Linked DNA regions of Arabidopsis thaliana. The protein of the gene in region 2 interacts with the protein of the main gene of each other region in a pairwise test. Each region holds a gene or a part of one and is shown on either strand. Other genes may lie near its edges. The genes, in order: NAC090, AT1G76510 and AT2G31730.

Evidence for each region.
Region 1: the proteins of AT1G76510 (region 2) and NAC090 interact in a two-hybrid assay, tested with the Arabidopsis thaliana proteins (one large-scale study listed by BioGRID).
Region 3: the proteins of AT1G76510 (region 2) and AT2G31730 interact in a two-hybrid assay, tested with the Arabidopsis thaliana proteins (one large-scale study listed by BioGRID).

What each region holds. Positions count from the first base shown.
Region 1 is NC_003076.8:7,404,033-7,414,016, forward strand, and holds NAC090 (NAC domain containing protein 90), read right to left. Parts: upstream 6,071-9,984; 5' UTR 6,007-6,070; coding exon 5,847-6,006; intron 5,532-5,846; coding exon 5,245-5,531; intron 5,153-5,244; coding exon 4,892-5,152; 3' UTR 4,727-4,891; downstream 1-4,726. Other genes in the region: VAMP714 (vesicle-associated membrane protein 714), read right to left, coding at 347-437, 773-936, 1,105-1,295, 1,403-1,622; QQT1 (P-loop containing nucleoside triphosphate hydrolases superfamily protein), read left to right, coding at 2,555-2,646, 2,954-2,998, 3,074-3,153, 3,244-3,318, 3,408-3,511, 3,599-3,755, 3,848-3,935, 4,035-4,107 and 2 more.
Region 2 is NC_003070.9:28,704,473-28,717,410, forward strand, and holds AT1G76510 (ARID/BRIGHT DNA-binding domain-containing protein), read right to left. Parts: upstream 8,477-12,938; 5' UTR 8,262-8,476; intron 8,039-8,261; 5' UTR 8,027-8,038; coding exon 7,631-8,026; intron 7,494-7,630; coding exon 7,360-7,493; intron 7,258-7,359; coding exon 7,218-7,257; intron 6,841-7,217; coding exon 6,788-6,840; intron 6,708-6,787; coding exon 6,593-6,707; intron 6,382-6,592; coding exon 6,289-6,381; intron 5,925-6,288; coding exon 5,802-5,924; intron 5,715-5,801; coding exon 5,666-5,714; intron 5,582-5,665; coding exon 5,518-5,581; intron 5,245-5,517; coding exon 5,178-5,244; intron 4,993-5,177; coding exon 4,942-4,992; intron 4,727-4,941; coding exon 4,634-4,726; intron 4,551-4,633; coding exon 4,459-4,550; coding exon of another isoform or gene 4,455-4,458; exon of another isoform or gene 4,321-4,454; coding exon 4,209-4,320; 3' UTR 3,867-4,208; downstream 1-3,866. Other genes in the region: SOB3 (Putative AT-hook DNA-binding family protein), read left to right, coding at 1,060-1,968; AT1G76520 (Auxin efflux carrier family protein), read left to right, coding at 10,912-11,049, 11,157-11,236, 11,311-11,435, 11,526-11,647, 11,738-11,887, 11,961-12,053, 12,147-12,247, 12,368-12,606 and 1 more.
Region 3 is NC_003071.7:13,484,270-13,494,937, forward strand, and holds AT2G31730 (basic helix-loop-helix (bHLH) DNA-binding superfamily protein), read right to left. Parts: upstream 5,411-10,668; 5' UTR 5,070-5,410; intron 4,423-5,069; exon of another isoform or gene 4,327-4,422; 5' UTR 4,325-4,326; coding exon 4,208-4,324; intron 4,099-4,207; coding exon 4,033-4,098; intron 3,956-4,032; coding exon 3,890-3,955; intron 3,804-3,889; coding exon 3,759-3,803; intron 3,682-3,758; coding exon 3,514-3,681; 3' UTR 3,281-3,513; downstream 1-3,280. Other genes in the region: AT2G31720 (B3 domain protein (DUF313)), read right to left, coding at 765-1,706; AT2G31725 (FAM136A-like protein (DUF842)), read right to left, coding at 2,178-2,360, 2,435-2,572, 2,994-3,122; AT2G31740 (S-adenosyl-L-methionine-dependent methyltransferases superfamily protein), read right to left, coding at 6,784-6,987, 7,108-7,258, 7,348-7,514, 7,622-7,696, 7,771-7,851, 7,944-8,068, 8,150-8,399, 8,621-8,669 and 8 more.

The DNA.
Region 1 (9,984 bases), on a different chromosome or scaffold from region 2:
AAGATGAAAACTGAAGTAATTTTAACAACAAAAATAACGAATATGTGATGTACATTGCAAATGCAAAAATTATAAAGACACAGCGGATAAAGTTTTGGAAATACAGAGAACAAACTCACTCACGTGACTAAATCTAAAAGACAAGGCAAGAGTTCAATGAACCTCTGTATCATTTTGATTTTGACATTTACAAGAGTTACATAAGCAAGGAGGACCATGACATGTAACTTCAAACTCACAGTCATTTTCATGACAAAACCAAGGCTTCAAATCGAAATGATGCGACTGAGTTGATTTACAAAAACAGTGGTCCGTTTCAGTATACCTTAGATAAGGCCGCCAGATTTTAAGATCTGCATGATGGTAAAGTGATTCCTCCGCAGAAAGATGCGATTATTATGTACAGCAAGAAAACTATCAAGCATGTCAACAAGACCCTGCCGAACACAAACAAGAAAAGCAGTTTTGTTGATTAATAAAAGTGATCTGGAACTCAAGCATCAAAACAAAACAATAATGAAATTTCTTTAAGCAGAGGTGGAATCAAGGCAGTGTAGTTCCTATCAGCCAAAAATTAGATATTTTGTCGAGGAGAATTTCCCAAAATCGAAAATAATGTTGAATCTTAGAACTACTGTATCTCTAGTTTAAGAAACATATCAATAAACTATGCTGCAAAGGCGAGTTGAAACACCTAGAATGTAGAAGAGCGTATCTCTTAGTTAGCAAAGAAAAGGAATGAAGAGAATCTAGAAGTGAGAGAGATCCTTACAGGAGCTTAGCATTTTTCATCCAAAGAGCTCGGCGAAGGCGCTTAGATTGCTTCCTGAAGTGAAACGAGCTATCTTGCATTGTTGCTGTTTTATCAACAAGAAGCTCAATCCTATCACCTCTTTCCATTATCTTCTCAATGTTCTCTACCATGACCGATCGAATCTGTAAACACGATAACACAACAATGAGATAACAAACTTCATCTTTCACCCAAGACAGATTTAAAGAAGCCTGTGTGAGCCAAGAAGGCGTAATAACTCATAAAAATTCAACCTTTTCAATGGATATAGCTGAGTAATATCTAGAGATCATACGAAGAAACAATTATACCTCACTGACTTCTCCTCTAACACGATTGAGAGTATCAACACTAGGATTACTAGAGAAGAACTCCATCTGCTGATGCAAAACCCTTGAGAATTCATCATTCATTGCATAAGCTGGAGCATTATGAGCCACTTTGCCATAGTTTTTCATGAATCTCATATGAATCTCTTCCAAATACGAAAATGGAACCCTCCCTGAAAATCCAATCACCAACACATCAAAACATAAAACTCAGAATCAATTACAAAGACTAAATCTTCTTAAGAGAGATTACGATTCGGAGAAAGTGAAAAATACTTACTTCCAAAGGTATCATTGGCCATACAGAGAAAGGTAAGACCATCAGATCTAAGAATATGGAAGATATAACGATCTTGAGAGAAACAAAGTCTTTCATCGGAGATTTCCGGTGAAAGCTTCTCGAGGATCCGTCGCACCACGGCGCCTGTGTTTCCCGTAACGGCGCTGAATTCAGCTAATACCACGGTACCTCTCGCTACAACAGCATAGACAATCGCCATCGGAGAATCTTCAATTAGAGTGATTCGATGACAGAGAGTGGAGATCACGCGCTCCGGCGGCGAGAAAGTTCAACGTCGGCTTTGCTGCGATCAGAACAGAGTATAAAAATGCGAAGTTATAAGGTTAGGTGCAAACGTTTCGAATATAACCCCTTGTTTTATTGTTACGTTTTTAATTGTCACCTAAAATATTATTTTGTTACATTTTAAACCCTGATGCATCGGTTTACGGTTTACCAATTTATTAGGCCTTGGTAACTTATCCGAAAACAAACCGACCCGAAATTCACTTTTCGGTTTGGGTTCGGATACTCCAATAATAACTTGATCGTTTCCTTCTTTTTAATTTCGATTATCCGGTTCGGTTCGAGTATAGCACGAATAAACCGAATTAAAATTAAAGCCCTAATTTAAATATACCGATCGAGTCTTCGGCGAGCTTACTTCGCCTTGAATCGAGTCTTCGACGAGTCTCCGGCTGCGAGTTTCTCTTGCTCCGGCAAACAGACCTGTCATTGCTTCTCTCTCCGGCTAACTACACAGGCGAGCTTCTCTATTTATTTTCTTCTGTGTCTCCAGTTGCTTCTGATATAATGAATATGCTCTTGAAGCAAATTGTTTCTCTGCTTCTCTTTCTCCAGTGAATTGTTTGTTGTATTATAAACGAGGTTTAGGAATTGGGTTAATAATATTGGAGGATTGTGTTTGTATTCTGTGTCCGACGAACAAATGACATTTCCGATTTCTATTGTGCTACGAGCTCAGTGTTTAGAAGGGTTTTGATGTTCTCTATTGAATATTCATGTTATGTTAGTTTGATGATTAGATGATTTTGCTTTGCAATTACTGTGTTTTTTTGTCTGACTGGCTCTGATATTATACAACGTGTTTGACTCCGATTGGTATCAATCTTCTTCTTCGTCTTCAGAAGCATGGTGTTTGGACAAGTAGTAATAGGTCCTCCAGGATCGGGAAAGACCACTTATTGCAATGGAATGTCTCAGTTCCTCTCTCTAATGGGCAGGTTTCATGTTCTTTCTCTTCTCTTCTCTTTTTGGATCAAAGAATGAAGCTTACTTGGCTTTTGTATCTGTAATTCTGTTTGTATTGATTGTTTCGCTGTCCCTCGCATTGTAAAGTTTACAAGTTGCAAACTTTAGTAAATAATAGTGTTGAATTCCAGAAATTTGAATTGTCTGACTTTTGAGCAGAGTCATTGTGAAATGTTGTTGCCTTGTCTTTGTTTTTGGTAGAGAGATTTGCAGATTCGTGAGAACTTCTCTGTAAGTAAATTCTCTTAACGTTGAGTTACTATTTTGTTGTTGTTGCAGGAAGGTTGCTATTGTTAATCTGGATCCTGCAAATGATGCATTACCGTATCCTTTTCAAGCCAAATACAACAAAATTGTTAAAAATTGCAGGTGTATGTTGTTTCTTGACATTGATTTTAGTTATGAGTGTGGTGTGAATATAGAAGAATTGATCAAGTTAGAAGATGTTATGTCGGAACACTCGCTTGGTCCTAATGGAGGTGAATTTTGCCATCTTGATTTTCCCTTTTCTTCTTACTTTTGATTTTAATCTTTGGTCAAATTAACAAAGAAACTTTCTAATGTGACAGGTCTTGTATATTGTATGGAGTACTTGGAGAAAAACATTGACTGGCTGGAATCTAAACTAAAGCCTCTTCTGAAGGGTTAGCAACGATATGTCCCTTCTTCTTCTTCTTCTTTTCGTGGTCATAATATCTCTTTCTTAAAGTAAAACGTTTTGAATTGTTTGCAGATCATTACATTCTCTTTGATTTTCCTGGCCAAGTGGAATTGTTCTTCATTCATGACAGTACCAAGAATGTTCTCACGAAGCTGATTAAATCATTGAACCTTAGAGTATGTGCTTTACTTCACTTATTACTAACTTGCTAAATGAACCTTACTTAGGAGTCTACATATCTGATGAATTTCTTTGTTCTGCAGTTAACTGCTGTGCAACTAATTGATTCCCATCTATGTTGTGATCCCGGGAACTACGTAAGTTCGCTACTTCTCTCCTTATCCACAATGCTTCACATGGAACTCCCACATGTCAATGTATTGTCTAAAATCGATCTGATTGGAAGCTACGGGAAGCTAGGTATTAATAATCTATCTATGGTTTTGTTCTCATAACATCGAATTTTCAAATGTATACTGTGGACTCACTAACTAGGATCTCTGTGCATGTAGCTTTCAATTTAGATTTCTATACCGATGTTCAAGACTTGTCATACTTGGAGCACCATCTTAGTCAAGATCCTCGCTCTGCTAAGTACAGGTTCGATGTAAACATCATCTGAATACACATTGAACGGTTAATAATTATCCATTTAGAAGCATGCTCAATATCTCATGAGCTTGATGTTTCTCATTGCAGAAAACTAACAAAAGAGCTATGTAGTGTCATTGAAGATTACAGTCTTGTTAATTTTACAACCTTGGATATTCAGGTTTGCGATTTCCTTTACCTCTCTCTCTCTTTCTCTCTGTACAAGCATCTTTTCGCAATTTTCTTTTTTGTTTTCAGGATAAAGAAAGTGTTGGGGATCTAGTAAAGCTCATCGACAAGAGCAATGGATACATATTTGCCGGCATTGATGCAAGTGTGGTTGAATACAGCAAGATTGCAATTGGTCAAACTGATTGGGATTATAACAGATATCCTTTTTTAGCATTTTGGATTTCTTAACCATTACTTCTCTCAATAACTCTTGAGTTTAGTTTTACGTCTACTACAAAAGAATTGTTTCTTTGACGATAGTCTTCACAGTCGCAGCTGTACAGGAGAAGTACATGGAAGATGAGGAAATACAAGACTGAGAACAGTGCTTGAAACTTTATATAGAAGAGAGCTGGTTTAAAATATCTCTGAACCAAACCATTTGACGGTTTGTATGAACCTTTTTGTGTATTTTTGAGTTCGGTTTAAGTCTAAACAACATTGATTTACACAACTTCCTGGTTTGGTTCACTGGATTATGCTAATTTTCCAGACGACTAACTTTCTGCCAAATTTTGTCTTTAGACTTTTGAGTTTCTGAATCACACGTGCCCATGACTCCAACATTCTCTAGAAAACATCTCAAATGTCACTGTCTAGGTCATTTATTATTTCTCAAATTCTCACGTTACAAGGTAAAGAAAGAAAAAGAATCTTTCGGGTCATAAAATTCAAACTAACAATAAGCAATTGAAACAAGTTTAAATTTGCTTGATTATAAAATCTATATAGCTTCAAGGCCAAGTCAGCTGTTCCCAGTCCCACATCGGTTCTGATAGTCCATCAACAAACTCTGTGTTCATAGAGACATCAATATGTTCTCCTCCTGAAATCGAAGTTTCCAGTGAGCTTTCCACACGGAACGATGTCTCAGCTACTGCAACATCACTTGTTAGCATTCTCTCTGTCTGCAAAACTCCCTCAGGACGTCTATCAAAAGCTCTGGAGCTTCCTGTTGTTATGTAGACTCGACATAAACTGAACTCACGTCTCAGCTACATTTTTCAAGAAAGCAAAAACAAAAAATCTCGTTATTAAAAGTAACAAGAATGTTCTAATTTAAAAGTTTTTAATTATATGCAAGTACCTTAGGGATTGTGGAAGCGTTGACTGTTTCGTCAACGGCGTGGTACTCATTCATTTTCCATTTAGTTTTTCTTCCTGTGGGTGCTTTTCCAGTGTAGAAAACCATAGTTTTCTTTGCTCCAATCATTTTGTTGTCTTTGGAAAAGACTGGACCAGGTGATCCAGTTGCTTTCCAGTATCCTGAACCAGTAGTTCTACTCGGTCTGCCTCCTCTTGCTTCGCGTTCTTGTCGTGGCACGAAGAAGAACCATTGCTCAGCGTCTCCTCGACATCTCACTCCAGCAACATCTGCAAAATTGTGTGAGTTTCATATATAAAAACATTACGCATATATAGTCTTTATGGCATTCATGTATTTTAGGGGTGTTCAATCTGATTATACCAAACCCGAACCAATTCAAAACCGACTAAACCGATCTGGAATCGGGTTACTATTTTCGTAAAACAAGAAACCCAAACACCAAAATGGAGAAGTTTACGTGCTATAAAACCTAACTTTGTATGATGTCCTAATGACTCTCAAGTAATATTAAGATATGACGATTTTGATGCCATAGTAGATATATATATCGACAATTCAGGTGAGGTTAACCGTTAACGTACTTGGAAGATGACTAGGCTCGACCTCAAAGACGTCAAGTACGGGAATGACACGATGCATTGAGTCATCACTCCTTCCTTCGAGCTGGTTTCGTAGGTAGAACGAAACCAGTTCTTCTTCCGTGGGATAGAAGCGAAACCCGATTGTGACCTCATCGGCCATTTTTGTACGATATTTTTAACAACAAGAAACACTCTAATTAGTTGTAGCTACCTATATTATTAACTTAGATGCCATGGATTCATTGTCATTAAATAAGAAGTAGAGATTGGTTTCTCCGAGTGAAAGGAGAAAAGTTCTCTACGCGTTTTTCGTTTTTTTTTTTTATTTTATTCCCTTTTTGTACGGATATTGGTAAAGACAAGGATGTTTTGTGTGTGTGTGTTTGATTACTTTCGTTGTTATGTGTTTACTGTTTAGTAAACTTTTTACGAGCCACGTACGTCCATTGAATGAGTCAAGCATTCGTCTTTGCCGTCAAGTTTCAGTCTCTTTTCCTTTAGTTTTCCTATCTTTTAATTTGGCTTGCCAGTTTTAGTAAATAGTTTTTTTGAAGCAAACTCAGATTAGTCATAGGTTAGTTTTCTAATGCCTAATCAAATTGTCAGAGGACAATAATCTTTGTAATGAGGTTCATTAAGGAACATGTAATTTCTAGTGAAAGTATAGTAAAACTGAAATAATGTATGTGTAACAATTCTCGTCATAATTTTAGTTAACTTTATTTATTTACATAACAAAAAAAAAACTGTGTAAGTATATAACAAGTTGAAAATAAAAAAAAAGATGAAGAAGACTTTGCCTTGGGGTATTTTCGTTAATTCGTTACATAAATTCGGCCATTTGCAAGTACATTAACGTTATCATGGTACATTATCTTTTATAGATGCAAATTACTTTCCAAAATTTAATCATTGAGTATAATTACACTAGATGACTTTTTAAATACCAAGATACTTTGTAATGTACCACATAGATCTGAAAATTATAAATTTTGAAGATATTTGAATGTAAATTCTAATTGTTCACAACTATATATTGACCATTGAAAAAAAACACTTCAATTCCTTCCTCTAAATAACAAAAGTTGATACACTTTAACAAAAAAGAAGAAGACTATATATGCCCCATAGTGTATTTTGAAAATCTCCACATCATATATGTGCAAGTTAGAAAATGGTAAATTTGTGTATTTTCTCAATCTAGGTTAAAATGCTTCCTATATCGACTAGTTTTGTGATACCGATTTCGAGACACTAGATAACGATTTTTGTGTACGGTATTCTAGATAATTATGGTACTCATGTACCAGTTCGGAGAATAAATGCCACTTTGGTTAGGTTCGTCTCCATGACTAGTAGAGTATTTGCATGCATCACTAATATTAAACTTAACTGGGCACATAATTTATATAGTTTGGGGGTCCTCTCTAATTTAAATCACTAAACAGAAAACAGATAGATAAACCAACCAATACGAAAACTAATCACGCACCGTTATGGATTGTTAGGTAAAAGTGGTCAACATCAATAATTCGTTTTAAGTATGTTGCGACCTTAATTAATCTCAACCGTACCTTTACTTAAAAAATAGGTCAACCCGAGACTCTTTCTTCTATTAATATGAAATTCATTACAGAAATGTCAAATTCACTTAAAACAAGTTATGTAACAGCCCAACCAACGAAAGTAAAACAAGTTTTTCTTTTTTGGCCAAACTACCAAATTCTTTTTCAAGTGTTTTCAGGAAGTACAAACATTTGCTTTAAAGAAATGAATGATCCAAAACTCAAATGCGTTCACAGATAAATTAAAGATCTAGCTAAAATTGTTATTTCTCCAGTTAAAACTTAAAGTGTTATAGAGTGATAATTTTGGCAAAAAAATATTTAACACAATTGGTACTGTATCAAAATTGTGACAAAAAAATCGTGAAAAGCAAAACTAAAAAGGTGTATGGCCGTTTTAATTTTAGTTGAAAAACATTACCGGAATAAAACTTAATCGACATAGAAGACGAACCTATTAAATTATCATTCCTTATAATTTCTTATATATTATTTAATATTGTTTTTATTAGATTGAAACTTTAGAAGCTGGATTGATATTTAATTTTATTTGGTTTCTCTATCAAATCACCAAAATAAAAATCTCGAAACCAAAAACAAGTTTTGACAACCCGACAATCCGTAGACTTCTTTAAATTTTTTTAAGGCAAGTCAAGAAGAGCAAAAAAACAAATCCATGGAGCCAGAATATAATCGAACAACTAAATCTTATTTACGACAGAATTGTCATCATACTAATACTTAGGTGTCTTTTCTTGTGGTTTGCATAGATTTGAGACTTGGTCCGCTCTCATCAGTACTCAGTGGGCTAATACTAATACAAATGAATTACGTAACGTTTTACTCTTTTTAGAGCATTTAGTTATGTCCCATGGCCATTTATAACGTGTGATTATTATTTGTATTTCTTTTTTTTTGTCAACTTACGTGTGATGTTTGTTAATTTTAATCAAGTTTTCTGTGATTATTCTTTTCGATCATATGTTATTCTTTTGTTGCATGCGTGCAGCTGAAGTCCGATATATTCCTTTTATGTCACTGGTAATATTGTGATTATCATCATTTTCTAAAGGGATCACGTATAAACTATTTTTATAAGAGAGCCAGAGCTTATCATCCTCTTACATGTTCATCGTTTCACAATATGGTTAAGTTTTGATATCAATCTTTATCTTCAGTTCCAATATCACCAAAAAAAAAAAAAACGTAAAAACCAGAGACAATCCGATAAGACTTCTTCAACGAAAGACAACAAGGTTCTTATCTTTTTCGGATTCGGGACTAATTAAACACACAAATAGTTTGCCCTTTTAACAAATAAACACTATTCCGCTATGGGTTACTCTTTTTTTTGTGTTCAAGGATTCTTTTAAGAGAATATTACATTCTATGGCACTTTTAGAAAAGTATGTACGAATTTAGACACTTTGAAAAGATAAGGCACTTTGTCAAACCAAATTGTCCAATTTACCCTTTTTAACTGCAAACTCATTTTCTTTTTCATATCTTCTCAGCGTTTCTCCATCGTTTTTATTTCTCTATTTCCAAAACCAAAATCAAATCTTTTACTAAAAATCAAAGCTCAAAAACGAGGGCTTTATCTTTTAATCTCCGACATATTTGCTTTGATTCCTTGCGATGATTGTTTTTGAAAAGCTAACCAAGATATGATGGCGTTATTGGTGGTGGCGGTGGCGGTGGCGGAGGGAGCTTTATACCTTATTCGTCGCTTTGTTTGGTGTCTCTCTGCTCCTAATTACTTTGGTATCTCTGATCTACAAAACTAGAAAGTTCTTAATCTTATTCCACATCAGATCTATAAATTTGAGAGTATTGTTTCTGATTGATTTGATTTCCTGAGAGTAATCACTTCTAATTCAAAGTCAAGATGAAGAAAGAAACGAGAGGTTGAGACATGATGAAAATCAAAGTAACTTTTGTGAGTTTATGACGTTATACAATCGATGTATATTTGTTGAATTTCTATTGAATAAAAATTTGTAATTTATGGCAAGGGACACATCCTTCTCTCTTCTACCTATTACAAATGATTAATATGGACGTATCAAAGTAAACTAATGGTCTTCATTGAGAGTGTAATACAAATAAGATCTTCGTTACATTCTTTATAAAAGCTATGTAACTGACATTGTCCTACTGATGGAATTGTTTATACACAAGTGAATAAATGGTCAAAGAAAAATGGACAATGTACTTTGGATTGGCGTTTATTGGTCATGTATAGACTTGTTTATTGGTATAAAAATACCATGTGAATCATTAGATAACCATATGGACTAGACTTCTTGGACTGTCATCAATGGATAACAACTATGTCTTTGATTTGCTGTGAATGTGTTTATAGCTCGGTAAATTAGCACTTTATTTTGTTTGCGCATTCTACAATGATACATCATATGGTCATAACTCTAACCATTTACAAGAAAATTGTAATTGATCCCTACAACTATATGGTCAACATAGAATGGTCGCTAGTGGATGGCTACTTGTAAAGGGTTAGAATATAAACCCAAAGCATCGTAATGGACATAGTTTTTGAAATTGGTGATTAT
Region 2 (12,938 bases):
ATATTTTTTTTTGTTAAAATTTCATGTCTTATCTATGTTTTTCTAACAGATTGACAAAAAAAAAATCTATGTTTTTCTAACGTATTAACTGATGAAAGAAATATAATTGTGTATTAATGAAAGATAGAAGTGAAACTTTAATTAAATTTTAATACTATATGTTAATTAACTTTAAACAGCATATAATGATAAATGGTGGGAGTATTACATTTGTTTCTAGGGAATACTGCATTATTATGCGGACAAATTTGATATGTAACTTTCAAAAACTTATACAATAATTTATATTTAGACTTCTCGTTTGTTTTCTATATAATAATTTCCAACAACTTTATCAAAAAAAATAAAAAAAAATTCCAACAATTTAATATCAGCATGTTTCTTCCATCTCCTATTCATATACCTTTGGCTTTTAAATTGTAAATTTCTTAATTTCCTTTTTCTTTAAATTTTAACTCTTAAAAGTTTTCCTTTATTTTCTTGGTTTGAAGCTATATGCCAAAAAGGGAAACGCATATATCCAGAGAAGAAAAACTCGAAACCCTTGTCTTTTCATGGATTTCAAGTATATTATTAATATGCAATTATTCGTATATTAATATATGCCCCTATGCGTATTTTATTTTTTAATGCGAAAGGAATGATATTCAGCTAAATTTTCGGTGTGTCTATTGCTTTTTTTTTCCCTTTCCTCGTTCAAAAAAAGTACTTGCAGAGTCACTCACTCTCAGTCTCAGCACATGAATTAATTTGAAGCTTCCCTAGAATTCTTTCACATCAATTAATACGACACCGTCTCGGGTGAAGAATCTCTCCTCTCTTGCCCTAAAGCGAGTTAGGGTTTAACACACAAAGCATACCCTTTAGATTTGTGTCTCTTAGCTCTGTTTTTGTCGGCTTGTGTAACCGATCAACTCAAGCTATTGGCTCCTCACCTCCTGAAATTTGACTTCTCCAATGGATCTCAAAGTTTCTCTTATATGAATTCTATCTTCACCCTCACAATATCTTTATATATATGAGCCACAAGAACAAGAAGAGTCAGTAGATGCGGCTGCCATGGACGGTGGTTACGATCAATCCGGAGGAGCTTCTAGATACTTTCACAACCTCTTCAGGCCTGAGCTTCATCACCAGCTTCAACCTCAGCCTCAACTTCACCCTTTGCCTCAGCCTCAGCCTCAACCTCAGCCTCAGCAGCAGAATTCAGATGATGAATCTGACTCCAACAAGGATCCGGGTTCCGACCCAGTTACCTCTGGTTCAACCGGGAAACGTCCACGTGGACGTCCTCCGGGATCCAAGAACAAGCCGAAGCCACCGGTGATAGTGACTAGAGATAGCCCCAACGTGCTTAGATCTCATGTTCTTGAAGTCTCATCTGGAGCCGACATAGTCGAGAGCGTTACCACTTACGCTCGCAGGAGAGGAAGAGGAGTCTCCATTCTCAGTGGTAACGGCACGGTGGCTAACGTCAGTCTCCGGCAGCCGGCAACGACAGCGGCTCATGGGGCAAATGGTGGAACCGGAGGTGTTGTGGCTCTACATGGAAGGTTTGAGATACTTTCCCTCACAGGTACGGTGTTGCCGCCCCCTGCGCCGCCAGGATCCGGTGGTCTTTCTATCTTTCTTTCCGGCGTTCAAGGTCAGGTGATTGGAGGAAACGTGGTGGCTCCGCTTGTGGCTTCGGGTCCAGTGATACTAATGGCTGCATCGTTCTCTAATGCAACTTTCGAAAGGCTTCCCCTTGAAGATGAAGGAGGAGAAGGTGGAGAGGGAGGAGAAGTTGGAGAGGGAGGAGGAGGAGAAGGTGGTCCACCGCCGGCCACGTCATCATCACCACCATCTGGAGCCGGTCAAGGACAGTTAAGAGGTAACATGAGTGGTTATGATCAGTTTGCCGGTGATCCTCATTTGCTTGGTTGGGGAGCCGCAGCCGCAGCCGCACCACCAAGACCAGCCTTTTAGAATTGAAAATTATGTCCGTAACATAGCTGTAACCAAATTTCATTTCTCAAAATTAAAAGAAAAAAAAAATCATCTTCATTGTTTGGGGATCGTTTGGTTTTTAATTTAGTTGATCATATATGAATATTTGAATTCGTCTTGAGATGATATACTTCTCCATCTGCATTTTCTCTTCTTTTTTAATCACTAGGGTTTCGTGCTGTCCCTATATATTATTTGTTATATGCTTGAGTTCACAATAAAAGTGCTATTAGAAGCCAATTTTTATATATCACTTAGTTACCTTTGTAATTGGATAACAAAAAAGTTATTGAGTACATTTTATAGAAATATTGAAATGGCTCATACTTGTATATATCATGGATGTGGTATGTGTAATCCCCTTTTTGAGTAGTTATCAAAGGTAATCACTCAATCTATGTTACTATGTCTATCAAGTAATCAACCAACAAATCAAACATCTTGTTCTTTTTAATTCATCTAGATACCATACATGAATCTTCGAGATTTTATGATTTGAAAATCTCTAGATTGAATATCTTGTTTACGCATGGAATCTCTGATTTAGTACATGTTTCACCCAACTGAGTTCTACATTGTATTTCGATGAGATCAATATGAATATTTCTTCGTTTTTATCAATTAATCACGAAAATAACGCGTTAAGAATCTACCAAAAAGTAAATAACGCTTTAGAAATTTTACGAAAAACTAAATAACTATTTAGAATTTTATGAGTTTGTTTTAAAGACAGCGGTTACTGTGATAATTGCATACTATATTTTTGTCGATTATAAGAAAAGATTCGCCCACCCGTTACAACGATATAAACATGATTTTTCGACGGTTACAAGTTAATGGCTTAAACACGAGAACATTACATGACCTGCCAAAACCAAAATATGAAAAATTTGTCCCAGAGTTTCATTTATCAGTTTCCTTTTAGAGGATTAGGAAAGTCTATAACAACACAGCCAAGTGGGGCTTTAAGTACAAAGATGTGTGAAAATGAGGAATGCATCAAGTCCCTAGGGAAACTATGTATGGACCGTATGAAAACGTATATTTAAAAAGAAAATCAAGTGAAAGGAAAAGCTTGTACATGACCAATGCATGTCCAAAGGAGATTTGTGGTGAAATATCTTCAATGAGCTTCTAAGAGAAGACAGGTGACATTTATGTATATAAGAAATGGAGTCTCATCATGTTTACTGTTATACAATGAGAATGAGAGATGGTTTAAAAACCTCTTATTTTCATAATTTTCATATATTTGACATTTTAGGGCTTCAACCATGTAAAGAGAATAAAGGGTAATGTACTTTGAGACCTTTTCGATACATGCACTGTGACTTTATCTTTTTAAGATATCCATGTGCTCATGTCAAGTGCCTTACATGCAGTTGAGCAACGATTGGGTTAAGAAATCTTGTTCATTGTGTGTTTTATACGAACGGCTGATAAGTAAACGTAAATGTGAAGGTTTCCCTATATATACGAATTATGATTGGATAGATATATAGATCCTTTAAGTAACATATGTTCTACACTATCTAGACTACTAACTATTTTACACCCAAAAAAGAAGAAGGTCTACACTATTGTGTGGGCCATAGAGCTTGAAGAACATATGTTACTTAAAGGATCATGGTTCGAACTACAACATTTTTAAGTATGATTTGTTATTGTAATTGTTTTACATGAAAATAATATCATACTTTTTCATAAATTCTGAAGATTGGTATGAATTCGACCAAGAATCTCACGGTTGTAAAAAGAGAGAACTTAAACAAAAATTGTATACTATAGTAGTATAGTCACATATTATTAACTATTACAATAGAATGTTTTGCTAATTTTTGTCTGATGTCAACAGAAAATAGATAAGCATGAATATCTAAAAATCACAAAACGTGTTAGATGTAAATATATAATATTGGGTCTAATGCAAATTGGAAGTTGCAATAATATGTTTAGTTTTTTTCTTCAAAAAAAATTTTCTTGACTTTCCTCATCATATATATATATATATATATGAATGCAATTGTGGATCACGAAAGCAACACGACACATCTAAGGCCTAATTTTCAGGCCATTTAACTCAACCCAAAAGCTTCCAGCCCATAAAACTTCAGTACTCTCCTACAATAGGAGCCATTTAACTTGATTGAACTATAAATTGTAAGTTTTCTTTATGTGAAACCTGAAACTGAAATAAACAGAGAAAACAGATGAAAACTTCATTTTCTAAAAGATATATACCAGACACTGTGATTGTTGGTTGCATACTTGAAGGTATAAGGAACAGCTTCCTTACTAACTTTATATGGAACATCAATATTCATTTCTCTACTTTAATATTCAGAACTCAAGTCACAGTCAAACTATCACATTTGCTATCGTTTGTTTTTAGTTCTGATACAAACGAATTCCTAAAAGAAAACAAAGAGACAAATAAAGAACTAGCTCACTTGGGATGAGACCGGTCACTGCTCAAATGGGACTCGCACAAACAGTCGACCATGCAGGCTCACAACCGCTGACGTGTGCAGCGGATCGATTCTTGCGGGAAAGTTCACAACCTACCATAACCAAAATCGGAAAACAATTGACAACTATCCTTCAATTAGCAACTAGGGCTCTGTTTGGAGTGTTAGAATCTAACCTTTTTGAAGGGTGTGATTCCCCAAGGATTGTCAAGTTGCTCAGGTTGGCCTGCTATAACTAGCCGCCCTGCAGGGTCTGACTGAACACGGACCTGAAAGAAGAAATCAACTTATATTGAGGAACTAGATTCTGTGTGCAATCACACAAAAAATTACTATGAAATTCATTACAACGGACAACAGTGTGTGTATTTAGATTCGAATCCAGTATATGTTCACATCTATGTCGTAGGAATCAGTAACACTCCAGTGACAAAACACTGATCAAAGAAGCTTTAGAGATTGAATTCCAAGGAGAAAAGCTCACCTCTTCGCGAAGAAGTCCAGGTACCAGGGCAAATATCTCAAAGCAGTCTTTCTGTAAATAAAGACAACAAAAATAAATTTGGTAAGATTTCAGATTCAAAACAAAAACCCAGATTGCAGTTATTTCCCTTTCTTCAGGCAGTGTTGTTTTTGACTTTTTTTCTTTCTCATGTCTCTAGTTTCAAGAGTTGGGTAAGCGTTGCATTATATGAGGGGGGAAGCGGAAGTGGTACTCACAGTTTCTCTGACATTGATCTTCACCCAGTCTGCAGGGGGTCCAACATCTATAACCTCGGCAGTTGACCTATCAAGCCAAAACCATATTATCAATCTTTTGCTCTGATTATAATAAACGAAATGAAAAGACAAGTTACAAAATTCTCTGTATTCATTTAATCTCCTGCGCTATTTCTGAAATGGCAGTTCTTACAACTACCACCCAGAAAACAGTGCTTGTGATCTACCAAACATTGACAATGCAGGGTTTTTCGATGGATAAGATTGTATGGAATTGCACATGGTAAAGCAATCTTGCATAAGCAACACAAAAATACAGGAGATGATTATCTTTCGTAACTGTTTTTCTGATTCGTGTGAAAAAACAAGGTCCATGCCGGTTGTTGTTTTTTGTTTCTGCACACCTGAAAAGAACATTTATACACGGTGGCATTAGGTAATCATTCTGTAGGTAGTGGAGAACAATAGCCATCGCTTAGGAATATTACCAATGTTTTTGAGGTTCTTTTGCTTTGGGGTTGAATTCAAGCCTTTCTCCTGAAAATATATGTACAAACAGAATCATGTTGAAGCGTAAGTTTGTGCATGGTGAATTATGAAACGTGGTAAGGTCTAAATAGAAACCTTAACAATAGGCTCAGTAACCTCCCCAGATCCAAGAAGGCGCTGAGAATGCCAACCTTGCATAGCACGAGCTGCAGCATCTCTTCTTGTTCTGCCTGACCCTGAAGCTTGATGGCTACTTGCCTACATAAGTGCCCTTATATCAATGAGAGAAAAAGGGAAGGCATATAAAGTTTAAAATTCTGTTTTAGGGAGCTTAAATTGGTAATTAGCTGTGTTGTGTACATATTATTTCTTATGTTTCCCATATAACACAAAACGGTACAGCTTTATTCAATCAGATTGCAGAGAGTAGTATTCAACATGTTAAGCTGATATTACTCATGCCCGAAATTTCCATCTGTATAAAATGATTTTATAAAGAACTGCAGAGCTTTCACTTTATCTAATTTAACAACATGGTTTACCTACTCTTAAATTGACCTCCTCTCAAAGTGTTCACCTACCCAAAAGCATAAGAATTACACAATTTCATAGGAATTCTAACCTCCTTTTCAATGCCTGAAGACGGAAGAGAAGCTGAACCAGGAAGGTTAAGCTCACCATTTTGCCTTAAATGCTTCTCATACTCCAAAAGTGCCTGCGGTTGGAAATAAGGATACAAATAATGAAATTTCCACATCTTGATAGGATAGAAATCAACCAGACTCCATGTTAGGAAGGAGTCAATCCAAATAAACTGTTAGAAGGCTACTAAACCACGACATAAATGATAACGAAACCAGCTAGTCTCAGACACACTACTGACAAAAGGAGCAAAAGAACATTGTCTGAATCGAACATGTATGAACTAAACTGAACAAGTACAACCTCATTAATATCAATGCATATTCAGTACTTAGACCAAAAATGAAATTCACCTTTTCATAGAAAATGCGGAATGTCCAGGAGACTGTAGTGCATGTTCTGAATAACAAAAATGTGGAAAGTCAATTTCATACAAGAAAGCGGAAAAGGTTGAAGATTGAGGACAATACAAGCCATACTTTGGAGGATGGAACGATTCTCCAACTTGCCGCCATAGCTTAGATGTGGTGACCTATATAAGAAAATGAAAATCATAGGAATTTTGAATACCACAGACATAGAGTTTCAAGCAACGTGGGCGGTGGGATAGATTTGAGTATAAACTTTCAAACAGAGTAGATGACACTAAGCAAGTTCAGTTGCCAAAACACAGACCTAACATAATTAACACATAACTGCATTGACTTAATTATTTCCGGAAGCCATTCCTTGTTCTTAAATCATCTTCTCATTCATTAGCTATAGTTCACACGTTATACAACCCAAAACGTATAAATCGCATGACCTGTAGATAATAATCTAAAAGATTTTTAACCTCCTAAAGGGGAAGAGGGAGGAGAAGATCTTAGTAAACATAAAATCATTGGAAGTTCGAAAGTAGATCATTACCACATCGTAGCCACCTAACTTGATAACGGCTCTCCAAAGCCTACATTTCAAAGTAAAGCATGCAGACGTTATCACGTCAAACAAGGCATAACCAAAAGTATGGAATTTTCCAAGAATTAAAGCAACACTTCCAACAACTCACTTGAGACAATTTAAGGGCTGTCCGTAAAACTTTGGGGCTTTAAATTCCAGGAAATTCTCCTTGTTGAAGGCCTCCACTTCTTTAATAAACGCCTCTTGATCCTGTGGTGCCCCTGCTTCATCAACTTCCCTGGCCTGTATAAAAACGTGAACTCGTGATGAAATAGAGCCACTGTGATGACCACAGATCTCACAAAAAACAATATTCAACGCTTAACGCAAATGCAGGCAGACTAGTTGTCTGAAATGTGACAGAAAAGTGCTCTCATCACCTCAGCATCACTCAACAACCATGTCTTCCACTTCTTAACACTTTCTTCAGGAACATGAGGACTCGACGGATCCCCCTTCAAAGGATTTGATTCCCCAAGTGTTGTCTCCTCTTGACCGCCATCACTAGTAATCTTCTTTTCAGACTGATCAACATCACCATTCCTCCCATCAACACTGTTCTGACCACCAACCTCTTCATTAGCCTCAATTTGATTAGCAATGGGAGCATCAGATAAATGAACATCACTATCCAAAGTATGAGTCGTATCCTCTGGAACAGGGGACTTAGGTCTTTCAATAGAGTTTAGGTCTTTCTCTAGTTCTGAAGGCTCCTCTACAACACCTTTGGTACCAGACGGCACATCTTGCTCTTGCATTTCAGTATCCGCCATCATGAAGCTAATTCTCTGAGACATAGCATCACAACAACAACGCAGAATTCAAAATCCAGAAATCATAAATAGAAACGCACTATTGATAATTCCAGAGAGAATGCAAGACGCATGTAATCGAGAATTGGAACGCATCAAAACTCTGAGTCCTACTCTCTCACTGATTCGCTATAATTCAAACAGTGATGGCGACTAAAGCATTAGAAAGCAGAGCTTCACGAAATCATGGAGTACATACATAGAAACAAAAGATACGGTTACCGGTTTCGCCGGAAGAAGAAGACGCCGGAGACGGTGGAGTCGTCGCGGGTTAGGGTTCGATAGCAGCCGGCGAAATGGAAGGACGCCGGCGGAGAAAAAGAAGCGAGAAACGGAAAGATATCAATTAAACGGAGAGATATGCAGATCAAAAGATTTATACGGATGATATAATGAACACATGAATTCATTAAGAAAGAAATTAATGCTTGTTACTTGTATTAACTCTTAACGAAGATCTTAATAGCAAAACTTATTAATGATATTTCAGAAAGTTGGACTTTTACGACCCATTTACATAACAAAGCCCATTATTGTAAACTATGGGCTCAATATGTAAGGTATATTATGAATATAATCTTAGGCCCAATTAAACACGGAAGACAACGTAGGTTTCTGCTTGTCTCGATTGTTGTTGTGTTTTTATTTGTTACTAAAGATAGAGAAAGAAATATCGAAGCATTGTGCGTTCATGTTCAATATAGAGTTTTTGTTGTACCAAAAAAATATAGTGTTTGAATCTTTAATTATAGACTAGCTAGCATATAATTAACGTGATTAACTTTACAATTATGGTGATGATGATTTTCTCAGTATGTAGGTATAGTACTTGTCAAAGTGACAAATAATTGCAATTTAATGAATTGGTGTGGATCCAAAGGATAACAAATAGTATGAGCATATTCATTCGAAGCAAAATGGTACAGAATTAAGCAAAGCTTTTTGTCCAAAATTCTAATGAATTAAGGACCATTATTTTTAGGGAATAATAGTCTTTGATGCCCCACATTTCCAATAGTACAAATCAAGATTTTCAATATATGTCAAGTTTGTTATTTTCATTCACGGACATTAAAACGAGTGGAGCATTTCAATTTGACATATCTTTGTCCTTTTCTTTTTGTTACAGATATCTTTTGTTCACGTTCTTTGAATCATCATATTCATAGCTATGAGATCATAGAAATATCAAATACTGTTAATTAACCTCTTTAAAAATACATATTCACAAGTCTCTTGTGTGAGTAGAAATCCTATACAAACAAGTTTATTCATGCTCTAATAAGATAGATAAATAAGAAGATAGCTCATGACATGGCCTTCATTAGGCTTGTTGCATATACAATAAGCTTACATATAAGGAATTAAGGATGGTCTAATATCTCTTGCTTCACATGAGAAGAGTTATAGGATTCGAGTCACATAAGAGATTTTTATTGTAGTGTGTATAATATATCCCACTTCTACAATTATCCAGTCTATTGTGTATTTTTCATTAATAAATCACTAAAATTTGCACTTTGACAATATATACTTAAATATTTGTATCTCGTATATATATATATACATATTTTTAGCACTGTATGATAATTCTAATTATTCGCTAATTGTTTTTTTTTGGTAAGAATTAGTCGACTATTTTGATATTGGGGTTGTTACATTTATATCTTGCATTGAATTTTATGGACGGACACTGGTCGCAGCCTCACACACTAATTTGAATTTTCCGTTATCATTAATATTCGATCGTTTCGTTGGTACGCTTCCATCACACAATTAATTTAAGCCACCACACTATTATCTTATTCTCATTCAGTTTTGTTTCCATTTCAAATTTCTTACGACGCATATGAAAATGTACATTTTTATAACAATTCCCCTTAAAAATAGATGACAAAAAGAAAAATGTTTTTTTTAAAAAAATATATAAAATAAAATAAATAATAAATCTTCAACAATCGATGAACACTTTGCAATATCTCCACACCTTGGGCAAGAACCAGAAAAAAACATGGGGCACGTTTCGTAGTCGATGTGACGAAAGGCATGACGACGGTTACCATATAAATTCGTCTTCTCAGATAAAGCCTTATTATTCTCAATAGTGTTATACGACAATATACGAAACAAACAAAGACCCCGCTTGAGTTGAGTTTTCCAAAAATTGTGGAACTGTTTCCTCTTTCTTTTTGTACATAAACTAGGTTACAAAAAATTGGAAAATATACAAAATCAAAGGACATAAACTTACGAGATATATCATAACTCATAAGTTGTGAAAGTTGGAATTCAAAAAGGAGCTAACTATGAATCTATGATACGTTATTTTGTTGCTTATACGGAACAAAACAATTCCAAAAACAAAGAAGATGTAAAAGTCTGACCCGGATCATGCGGACACCAAGTTGTACATACAAAATATGTAGGATGAAAATATGAAATTCTCTTCCCATATGCATAGAATAATAATTTACCTTAGTTAAAAAGATTAGTTTCTAAGTTTGCCCCAAATAAAGAGATTAGTTTCTTGAAAAAAGCATTTTGTGGATAGACAAGAATTTAAATAGAATGAAGAGGCGACCATGCAAGTGTTGTACTAGGCCAAATTTTGGAGACGCTCTTTCTCTTTCATAGAGAGAGAGTGAGAAAGTTCTGATACGGCGGCTTCTCACTGTCATCTAGCTGTACCACTGACGATAAATCTCTCTCTTCCTCTAAATCGGTTAAAAAATTCATTCCCTTCTTGGATTGCTCTGTTTTCTTCGGCGGTTCTTGCAGCTCCATTGATTCTCTGTTTCCTCTGCTACAGTTAACTTATACTTGCAGATTCTCGCGTTGATAGTAAAAAGATGGTGAAGCTTTTGGAGCTGTTCATAACTTCATCAAAACCAGTCGTTGAGATTCTGTTGATAACATCAGTCGGATTTTATATGGCTCTCGATGGAGTCAATCTTCTTGGTCATGATGCTCGTAAATATCTGAACAACGTCAGTTAATTATCACTTAATTTTACTCTTTTCTTTAATAAATCTAAATGATTCAACTTTAATATGTCTCTGTTTTGTTATCATTTTCTTGATGTGTGTGTATATAGATTGTCTTCTATGTGTTTAGTCCTTCGCTTATTGGAAGCCGTTTAGCTGATAGTGTTACATACGAAAGCTTGGTCAAAATGTAAGTCAATCTCAGATTTTGCATCTTGAGTCTGTAATCTTTGCTCTTTGGTTAATGAAAATGAGGATTTGCAGGTGGTTCATGCCGGTGAATGTTCTGCTTACATTCATCATTGGTTCATTACTTGGCTGGATTGTTATTGTCATCACTAAGCCTCCTTCACACCTTCGTGGTCTCATTCTTGGTTGTTGTGCTGCTGGTAACAAACCTTAACATGAATGTTTCTGATTTCAGAATCTGTTTAACTTGTGTTTTGCTTATGACTGTGGTAATGAATGAAACAAAACAGGGAATTTGGGGAATATGCCACTGATTATAATCCCAGCTGTTTGTAAAGAAAAAGGAGGTCCCTTTGGAGATCCTGAGAGTTGCCAGAAATATGGAATGGGTTATGTTGCTCTCTCCATGGCTGTAAGTTCTTCTTCTTCTTCTTCTTTGTCTTCTTCTTCTTCAAGGTTTTGTAATCAGTATGTCTCATGACAGTACTTGGTAACGTATCAGATGGGATCTATTTACATATGGACTTATGTATACAATCTTATGCGTGTGCTATCGAACTCTCCCGTTGAAACCCCTCCCTCTGTTGAATCCAACTACGACAGCTACAAAGTTCCCCTTATTTCTTCCAAGGAAGAAGAAAACAACCAAAAGGTTTCATCACATATGCACATGATCAGTAACTATTCATTTATCAAAGTTGGTAGTGACTGTGTGTATATGACAGGCTGGGAGGTGGGAAAAAGTCAAGCGGAGATTGGTTTCACTGTCACAAAAAGTCAACCTTAAGACAATTTTTGCTCCATCAACTATTGCTGCGGTTTGTGTTTCAATGGCTCTGTTTTATACATTTGAGACGTCACTCACACTAGTGTAATCTTTCTAATTACCCTTTTTGTTCTTCTGTTTCCAGATGATTGCACTTGTGATCGGGCTCATTACTCCTTTAAGGAAGCTAATAATCGGCACGGAAGCTCCTCTCCGGGTGCTTCAAGACTCAGTAACTCTAGTGGGGTAACTGCAGCTAAAATTAGACCATTATCTTAGCATTAGCTCAACAATGAATCATCTCTTGGAAAAACGTAACTCACTCATTCGAAAGCTTCTTATGTGTCTTGTTTCTTTTGGCTGAAGAGATGGGGCAGTTCCTGCAATGACCATGATTATAGGAGGAAACCTACTCAAAGGTTTGAGGAGTTCAGGAATGAAAATGTCCAGTATTATCGGCGTCTTGGTTGCGCGTTACGTTTTACTGCCTATGAGCGGTGTTTTAATCGTAAGAGGAGCATATAAGTTGGATTTAGTTACATCAGAGCCCTTATACCAATTCGTTCTTCTTCTTCAATATGCTGTCCCACCAGCCATGAATCTAGGTTCATTGCTCTGAAACCAACTCTTTAAAAAATACAGTTACTTCTTTCAGATAAGATCACTTCATTAGTTTCACTTACTCTTGCAGGTACAATTACTCAGTTATTTGGAACTGGGGAGAGTGAATGCTCAGTGATTATGCTCTGGACTTACTCTTTGGCTTCGATTGCACTCACTGTTTGGCCAACATTCTTCATGTGGCTTGTAGCTTAGAATAGACCCCCATACTCATCATGTTACATGTATTGTTTTGTTCCATTGATTCAAGAATTGTTCTTGGACTTCCAGATGATTGGATCAAGTATAATAGAGAACATATACTTATAAGTCTTTT
Region 3 (10,668 bases), on a different chromosome or scaffold from region 2:
GGCTCATAGGTACGTCACTGCAGTCTACCTAGAGGACCAATTGGGTCAAAGTTATATATTATTTCTGAATTGATTATGTGAGATATATTCATGTCACTGTCTGTTTACTACATTCTTTCGTTATATATATAATTGGTGTGTTCCGACTTCCGATCTTACGAGTTTATATGACTTTCGTTATGTCATTGACTGGTTTGTTCCGATCTTACAAGTGGGAAAGAAAACTTGCCAAAAACAAATATCATCCGTTCAAACAAAAAGGAACTATATAAGGGATGAAAATCAGCACAATCTAAAACAAACTCGTAATGTTAACACTAACACTCAGTATATTGAGCTAAAAGACCCAAAAAAAACACCTAGATAAAAAGGACAAAAATCCAAAAAAGCCATCTTCGAATATAGTTTGAGATGATCAAGAACACAAAGATTTAAGAATAACTCTCTTTATTAGTTTAAGAAATTTACTCAAAACTTAAACTCTCAACTCATAAGTTATACCACATGTTGGTATCTCCTTATATAGAGATCTCTTAAACAATCCTAATCCTAATCCTAATAGAACTAATATTTAGATAACTCATAAATATTGTTTAGATATCTCCTAAAGTTTCTAGTCCTAATCTCTCTAGGATTTAATGACTTAATTGTCAAGTCATATTCAAACTTTAACTCAACATCGAGTGTCTGAAAAAAAAATACTTGCATGGCAAACCTCGGCAGTAGAGCTAGAAGAGCTGTTTTTTGCTGCTGGAAACTCTTAACTACAACCGGAGCTCGAGGTCCAGCTCTGTGTCCGAGACGAGTGAGCTCATCCTATTTGCCTCTTGTAAAGCCTCGAGACAAGTCGTCTCCTCGCACAATTTAGCCAATAAATTTAGGCACTCAGTCGGAGCTGGATCTGGATCTGAAAGAACGAAGGCGAAAAAGAGCATGTCTGGGGAGTGGAAGGACCAGATCCGAAGCCTAGTGCCTCTCTGTAGAATGTTATCGGTGACGACCTTGTTCCATCCTAAACCTAAGACGTAGTTGGAAGTGGAAGTCATATCCCATCTCTTGAGCTTAAGCTTCCTCTGTAGACCCTTAGAATTCACCACGATCACATCCGCTCCTTTGTCACTGGCACTAATCTTTTTGTGATGTCTATCTATTTTTTCTAACTCTTCCTCGTTTAAGAAGTCCATATCTAGTATCTGCTTCCAGGGCATCATAAGACGTGTCTGAAGTTCGTCGACATCACTATTGGGAAGAACCTTCACAAATATCAGCTTTGCATCCATACCGTTCACTTCTCTCATCACGTCAATCAGCCATTCCGTCGGTGTCCTATCTTCATCTGTCACTATAACCGGCTTTCTGTTTCTTACCGGTTTGTTTGAAACCACTTTTTGAGGCCTCTTGGACTCTAGATGGCACGAACTTGGAGAAGAAGCAACACGATTAGGGTTTTGTTCCGGGTCTTGATTCTTGCACTCATCAATCTTCAGTCGTTTGCTCAAGCTGGAATTCATAGTTGTGCTCAGACTGTAATTAATTAATCTTCTCAGTCTTCTCAGTCTCTCCCTCCTTTTATCACCTTCAGTGGATGTTTCTCCTATTTCCTCATATGCAAAAGCGCTAACCGTTCTCTCCGTCGCTACACATAAAATATCTAACGCTCTCTTCCCTCCCTGCAAACCATTAAGTTGATCATCTCCTCTCACCATTGTTATAAAAAATAGAGAGACAAGAAGAAAGAGTTAAGCGGCAGAGAGGAGTTTATAGTCTTGCTTTTATATGATTCTGATTGTCAATTCCTTTCACAAACGAACAAAGGTATATATAACTCTCTATTATTTTTTATTTTTTTTTGTTAGTGATAATCTCTATATATTTTTATATTAGTTTTAGATATTCACTAAATTACTTGCTTCTATTCTATTGGTTAGTCTCTTTTGTTCGGTTCAATCTTTAAATTCATGTATTTATCCTCAATTTTTTTTTATAGAGTTTTAAAGTTTTCGCTAGGGAAGATGAAGAACAAGCAAATACAGTTATTCCAAAACAGTGGCAAATTTTAAAACTTAATATAAGAAAAAGGAAAACAAATTTGTAGATCATATTAAGACAAAAGAAAAGGTCTTTTCAAACAATATGGCTAGTCAAGTTCTGGAATCCAAGGTTTTTCACGAGAGCTTTTAGTTGGTTATGTTAAATGCTGTCTTCATTCTCTGCACAATATGTGGTAATGTATTGAGATTTTCCTCAATGGATTTGTGCACACAACTCTCCATCTCGTTAACCGCTTCAGGCCTTATCTTCTGGAGCTTTGAGGCCTCAAACTTGTCTTGACACACCACCAGTGATCTGTTCAATCTTTCCTATACATTCATTCAACAAAAATCAGTCTTTATACACAGCAAACTATGTATCATCTTTTAGCAGATATCTTTACCTGAAATTGAGCCATTTCGTTCTCGAAATACTGTTGAGATTTGACAACGGGAACACTGCAGTGCTCGACGCAGTTACTTATCTCCTCTTGCTTTCTTCTTCTATCAAAGCACTCATATGCACATTTGAAATAAGCTTGCTGCAACAATGATATCGTTGTCAGGGTTTAATTAATTTGAATCAACGGATCATATAACTCAATATAGCAACCCAAAAACACAAGAGAAGGTGTTAATAACTCTCATGCTTCTGAAGACAAAGCAGAGCAATTGTTATGCAACGAGACACGCCTACTTATCGAATATCCTACAGAGCACAATATAGTAATTAAACCAGAGCAATTGTCGTGAACCTAATCCATAGTGTCTAAAGACGAATATAGTACGAACCCAAATGCAAATTTTCAGACTTTTTTCATGAACCTACTCAATTCATCAAATTTGAAACTAGCATTGTATCAAACCAATAAAGATTCCATATTCAGAAGCTAACATTGCTAAATTGTTATATCAGAGAGAATTTATGCTGAGCTCGCGAAAAGTACAGATTTTTGTATATACCTGAAGGGTGAAATTGATGTGATCTTGGATAGGAGAAAGCTGAGTCTGAGCAGCTACATTAACTTCTTCAAGCTTTCTTCGAAGTCTCTCCGATACGATTTGCTCTTCCGCCGCAGCGATGTGATCCATTGTCGCCTTCTCTGTTTAGCGTAATTTTGATTTTAGGGCTTTAGGGTTTTAGCTAGCTGCTCTCTTCAATAGAAGATCCTTCAATAGCCGCAAACAAAACGGGTTTGACAATTTTGGGTCGGGTTAAGTTTCCCGGGTTTCTCTAAACCGGTTAACTCTTTTTCACCAATTCAAACTTTATTAAACAGGAAGCTAATTCCGGTCATTGACCGGTCCGTTAAACTTCGCATTAGAATCAATTGTTACAAGAAGCCACCACAGAGTTGGGATTAAGCAGTAAAAAATAACAGAAACAGCCATCACCGACTTCAAGGTCTCTCCATCAATACATGATCAGACCAAAGCTTTGGCTAATTTTCATTAGTCTTGAGACAGAGAATTTAGCAGCAGCTCATTGAAAGGGCGAATTAGAAGACGAGAGATTAAAAGCATGAGAAGATGTTGGAGTCTTCACAGGAGCCCAAATATCAGCACCATTGGTTTGAGCAACTTCTGATGTATACTCCAATGGAACAAGACATAGCCCTTTACTTCTTAAGCTGTACTCTTCCACTTCCTCCTAGTTACAGAGATGGAAAATATCAGTCTTGCATTGTGATCCAAGTAAACGAGATCCAGATCATAGATTCAGCTCACCTCTGTAGTAGAAGGGGTTGCTTGCAGATAAGGAGCACTTAGAACCTGAACAGAGAAAATCAAGCATAATCATCATTGGATTGGAGGAGGTGAATGAATGAAAAGTATTTGATTAGAAAACTTGAGCAGACCTTGACTTGTTCTTGAAGAAACTGAATGTATTGCATTCCCTCTAGAAGAACTGATGCAGTGTCGGTCTGCATAGATAGAGACTTGAACATGGCTAGAGAAGACAAAGAGCGTGTAAGAAAGATTATTTCGGACCAAGTAGTACCTTTCCGTAAGGGGAAACTAGTTGTTGAAGAGCTGAAATACGTTCTGCTAATTTGTCTTTCCTCTCCTGTTTAAACCACAGAACAACAAAGTTTCAAGATCATTAGCATGCTGGTACAGAAATGTCCGGTAGCTTCATAGCCACAATGAATTTTGATTTTGATGTATCACAAGACCTTGGAAGAGAAAGAGAGATCAGATGACTTGTGTCGTTTAATTTTGTTATCTTCAAGCGAGTAGACATTGCGCTTAGTCTCCATCATCATCTCTGCCGAGTCTCTAGAGTATTCCATTCCTTGTCATCAAACAAAACAAAAATGATCGGTTTTTCGACATAAGAAACCGGTTTACTTGCTACCATTTATAAAGATAATCTCATGGCTTCATCCAAGGCAAGTTGCAGAAAAAAACATAAGATTACAACTCAACAACTTGCTTTTGCAAGCGTCATAAGGACAAAACTATACGCCTTGAGATATTCTCAGACCAGACAAACAAAGTGGTGTCTTGGTTTTAACATCAAAATTAGATGTTAACTACTACAAATTAAGGGATGCAAATCTAGGTTTGGACCAACTAATGCATTGGAAGATACGACTTTTGGATTAGAAAACAAGAGCAATGGTCAAAGAAAGTAGATAATGGTCAGAGGTTATCCATATAAGATCACATCAGCTTAAAGTATTATTTAAAGTTTAGTAGCACAATCATAGATGTTTAAATATGATATCATACTTTGCTTCCATACATAGACAATACATTGTAGGATGCATGAAACTACGGAATTAACTCATTAATTTAGTTCATCTAATGAGCAGAACTAGTTAATCATTATACGTGTTTTTATTTTGGATCGAGTTAGCTCCATTAGACAAGATTCAAAGCTAAGCAAACTTCAATAGAAAAACCCCACAAGAAGATGAGAACAAAAAATACCAAAAGATTCATGATTTTATTTTGCCTTAAAATACTCTAAGTTAAGTCAAAAAGACCAAAAATGGGGAACAAAACAGAGTAAATGAAGAAAAAAGAACTTACAGAGAGAAGAGACTCAGCATTTGCCAGAAACAGCAGACTAACCAACAAGTAACTTCACAAACTCTAAAACTTCTTGGTCTAAGCTCTCTAAATGGGTATTTATGTCACCCTAAGCACAAGACACGATGAAACCCATAAACGAGGATCTTGGTCTCTCTAGTGTATATATATTTTTACTTTCTTTTGTCTTCAGGTCTTGAAGAAAGCCATTAATGAAGCCGGAGCTCCAACGGTGACACGATTCCAGAGGTTTGTGTTTGGATGAAAACGGCGTCGTTACTTAAAGGGTCGTGAAAGAGAGGAGTTTTAGTTTTATGTAGAGAAGAAAGCAAAGAAAAGAGGGGACTACGTTTCATATGTCTTTTTCTTCATTTTGTTTTTCCTTTCGTCCTCTTCATTTAATTCTCATTAAATCTATAGATTTTTTTGTGAGACAAATAAATTGTTAGAATATATAATCGTAAAACTTTATTCTGTTTAATTCAAATCTCTTAATCAATCGAAACTATATTATATGTGTTATTCAGTACTATTTGACGGTTAGGAAATAATTACTATAGTAGTAATTAGGAAGTAACTTGAAGAATTTAGTTTAGTGTATATATTTGGAGTTAGGGAATGTAATGGAAATGTAAAAATTTGACAGCTAATGTACAACCAATGGTGAGAGAGGTCCTTTTACCAGTCCCAGATAGAAGTCGCTTTCATTATTTTCATAATAAAATAATAAATAAGCTAATAATTTTGAAAGTGACATTTGATTGTTTTTTATGTAGTTTTGTCAAAATGATTTTGACCAATTCTTCTGCATCTGTCACTTCTTTTTCAACTTTGTGCTTTTTCTTGTTTTGTTATCCTTTCTTTGAAATTTTCTACGAGGGAGGTTGGTTAATGCAGCGTACCCTTTGGTTGATATCCGAGTATATTCACATTTTCAAGTTTCAACGACACAGCTTTTTGTTTATATGGAACAGAATCTATCTTCTTTTGTTTCTCCAAAGTAAACAGCTAAATACTAACCCAAAATTGAAAAGCATAAACAAATAGTTGAATCTAACCAAACAAACAGAAAAAACAAACCTAACTATAACTAAAAGGCAAAAAATATAACAACAATATTGATTACATGCAAAATATTTGAAATGTTTACAAATGTCCAATTGATCAGCGTTCCATATCGGACCCACGCGGTTTCTGAATTTGTTTCTTTGCCACAAATGTTTTTCTTTTGTCTTCGCGGCGACCAGATTTTGGTTTAGGTGTTTCAATTTATATCTCTCTTACGTACGTACCAAAATCGGCCTGTATCAAAGGCTTTCTTTCCCAAATTACAATATTACAACCATAATTATTATAGCTCCAATGAATAAACAGCAATTATGCTAATCACCATTCGAGCATTTCTTAGCAACAATAAGGAAGATCACTCAAATCAGAAACAATACGGATAGTTCCCAAAAATGCACAAAATTAATCAAGACATTGATGTTTAACTTACATTCCAACTTCACTATCATCCAAATTGAATGCTTCAATAAGTTGGTAGGTCTAACAATCATAAAGGTTATGAAAAAAACTCCACGCTTCATTTTCCATTTGCGTATGGACGAAACTAGGTGTATTGTATATAATATAGTCTCAAAAATTTCAATCTTAACTTATAACAGAAATATATCTCACACGTCTTTTTAAAACGAAATAATAAAGAATGTTTTTATTTCCAGCATTTCAGCTTCTTTGTAGCGTCTATGATGCTTTGCTTCGTTTCCAATCTCTGGCACTTGAGCAATCCCTCCAGTATAACTGCAGATTCTGGAATATCGTTCTCGCTGATTACAGATTCAGAGCAAAGCCCAAAGAGCACTACGTTTACGTCATCTTCCTCTTCTAGTTGCAGGCCAAATAAATGATCGAAAACCTTGGCAAAAAACAAAACAATAGAGATCAATTCTATGACTCAATTTCCGTGCAATAGTATCAGATCAGATTTGTGAAAATATGCAGAGAATTTACAAGGAATGAATCACATTTGCTTTACCTTTTTCATTCTTGATACTACCATATCTTTGACGGACTGTGATCTCGTGACCAAATTCACTATGAAAAGACCGTGCTGAGGGAGAGCTTGCTTAACCGAAAGAAGAAATGTCTCTTCGATAAAATCAGATGCAGGGCAGGTTAATCCGCCGCTGCAGACAAGAGATCAAACAAGAAAACAATCAGGCTTACCATGTGGGTAAATTCATAGATATGTGAATTTACTTGCCATGTCTTTTACCTTGAATCTGCTGAATCCACATCTATAATTAAAATGTCAGGACAAATTCCACCTTGTGTATTGTGAGTGGTTGAATCTCCATTTGAGCCAATGTTTGACGATTCCTCAGACGAAGCTTCAGAGTTTGTTATATCTCTAATGAATTTGATCCCATCAGCAATATGCACCTATTATAAGAATGCGAACGAGCTGAGTGATGGTGCATATAATAGAATAGAATATAAACATGTTAAAGTTTAGCCAGCACTTTTGTTGTAAAGAGGGAGAATTTTACCTTCAAGCGATCATTTTGTGTGAAACCAAAGTAATCCTTGCCAACACTAAGCATTACTGGGTCAAGCTCAACCGCCTATTCAACAGGATACAGAATATGAGTGGCAATAGAAAATACTCAACTTGATTAATCCTTTAAACTGAAATTACCTCAATACTGAAAAATGGCAAGCATCCATGGAGGAACATGGGAAGTAATCCTGCTCCAAGACCAATTACAACAGTCTTAACCTGAAAAGCATCAGAACATTTCTGGATCAGTACAAGGCAAAGAAAAGATTCAGATCGGTTGCACCGTGAGGCCACAACTTAATAATGCTCACCATCGTTCCGCATGACTCAGCCTTCTTCAAGTAGGAAGATACCAATGTGAATCCAGAAATAATTCCAGTGTGGTAAGAGCTAGCCAGATAATCATGAGAGACCCTCATAAGAGGCCTGCTCGGTTCTGAAATGGATACATGTAAAAAAGATCATGAAACTTTTCACCTGAAATGTATCAAAACACTTACAGAAGTACGATTTTTACCTTGGTTTTGCTTTTTATTTCCCTTTCGCTTCGATTGGGAAACATTTTTAGTTTTTTCTTTCTGAGACTGTTCAAGAATCTCACCATCCTCTACAAGCAAAGCTTCAGACTGTATCAAACCCTCAGTCCTTTTGAATACAAGTCGTCGAAATGCCAAATCACTAGAAGTAGACAAGTCTTCTAAATTACTAGGAGCGCTTTCATAAACCACATCTTCAACAACCACTTTCCCAGTCATAGGAGATGTAACCTACAAATCGAAATGAATAGTAAGAAACAAAAAAGATCCCCATAACTACGTATTCTAACCAATCAGTAGTATTAAAATTTGCTAAAATAGTGGTGGATAAAAGTCTAATCACGGAGATCAATAAAGGAAACGATGATCATATTTGTGAAAGGCGAGAAATAGAAGAGACAACAAATAACAGTTTTATTAAGTGATTAATTGGGTATATCTAGTAATAATACCTCGTGGACAGTATCACGCTTTTTTATCCCATCACTTGCCATCATATACCTACAGCACCAATTCAATTCAACTACTAATTAACAAGCAATAATGGCGGAAACAAAATGAGTTAGGATTACTGTTGCACCAAAAATCATGGAGAATATAGTAAAAAAAAAATCCGATAAACATACGGAATGCGAGCTTCATCATCATTTCTGGGAGCTAGTTGTGTCACCATTGGAGATAAATCATTCTGAGATGAATAAGTTACCAGATAAAATCGATCAATAAGTAAACAACATAATGCATCAGACAACTCAAAATGTAGATAGTACCTACCTGGATATCCTCCATGGTGGCTCCACTATGGCTACTGTCGAGAAAAACCTTCATCAAGAAATTAAGATGTGTTTAGAATCTCATGCCGAAAATAGATCACGGTAACATGGTGTATATAAAGAGGTTTTACCATAAAAAGCTTACCATTATGAGACGAGCGGCCTGAGAACTCTCGACAACCTGCCACTGTCCTTCTTCTGAACAGAACAGCCACTCATGAGCACGAGTCTGAAATTTAACACTCCTTTTAATAGATCAAACAAAATTAAACAATATATTCACAGCAATTTCCAGAACTTAAATATTAAGGATTTATGATGTTGACAAAGCTTACCTTGGGGACAAGAAAAACACCACAATAATATACAAATGGCTCAGTTTGTTTCTGAGCATCAAGAAGCACGGCCCTATAACTGAAATTGCTTCCTTGGCCACCCAAAGTAAATTTTATACGGCGACCTTCAGTAAGCTCTGCCAAATCTCCTTTAATACCAAGTTTCAAATCTTCATGCGAGTACAATAAGTCTGAGCCATTATTGCAGTCTCTACGTATTTTGTTCTCGCTCTCGACGGCTTCACGCATGCCAGAACCCTACATTGTAAGTCAGAATCATATATTACACTGGAGAATTACACAAGTGTTTTAAAGAGCTAGAAAAAATCGATATATGAAGGGAAAGGTGGTTGAATTTACAATTGTGTTAAAGTCAAACTAAACAGGAAATAATTACCTGACTATCATTGCGGCCAAGAGATACAAGTTCGAAAGCAGAGGTTATCTCATGCAACAAAACGGAATTTTCCTTTTCAGCCACCACCATATATGTCTTAAGCTTCGAGCGTTTTTGAGCAATTGAATGAACATTCATCTTCCAACCAAAACGAAATCTTGAAAAAAGCAATGCTGCGCAAAAACACTAAGAATGTCACTAAAACAGACAATAGAATGAAGATAACAATAACTATGAAATAGCTTCACATAATAATAATAACAGAAGCAAAGGTGTTGGAGGTGTACCTAAGACATGAGACTCCGCCAACGTTAGACAAATAAACTTCCCCCCAGGTTTCAAAACCCGCTTGGCCTGAGAAAAGAGTTACTAATGATCAAACTGAATCAAGCTCAAGCATTTAAAGCACATAACTTTCATTGTTTGATCCAACACTCATCCAATTTATGCAATCCCTTAAACAAAAGAAGTTCACTAAGACCTCTGATAAGTATTGATTTCCCAGCTTGGTACCAACTTCTGGCTCCATCAAAGCATCAAGAGCACCTTTATCTAGAACCGTATCAAAAGACTCATCAGCCAACTGCGTAATAGAAAAAGTAAAAATATTTAGTGAATGAGAGACAGAACAAGGATCAGCTAGAAACCAAAAAAAAACAGAGCACAAAAGGAACCAAAACCTGCATCTTTGTTATATCCATAACTCGCCAACGCAGTTCAGGCCGAGTCCGAATGTTCCGACGAAGCATATCGGAGATAACAACTTTGGAGAAGTCAACATTAGTGATGTCACGGAATCCAGCATCGTACAAATGCTCAGTAAGGCGGGAGTTTCCACATCCAGGAACCAGAATCTGAAGCGAATCAGAAGAAGAAGATGAAGAATCTTGGAGGAGAGGTAAAAGCGAGTCATGGAGCTGAGGCCACTCAGCATACCACTCGAAAGAGTCGTCGTTGCCTCTGAGAGTGAAGAATTTGTCCCAATTCTCTTTGCT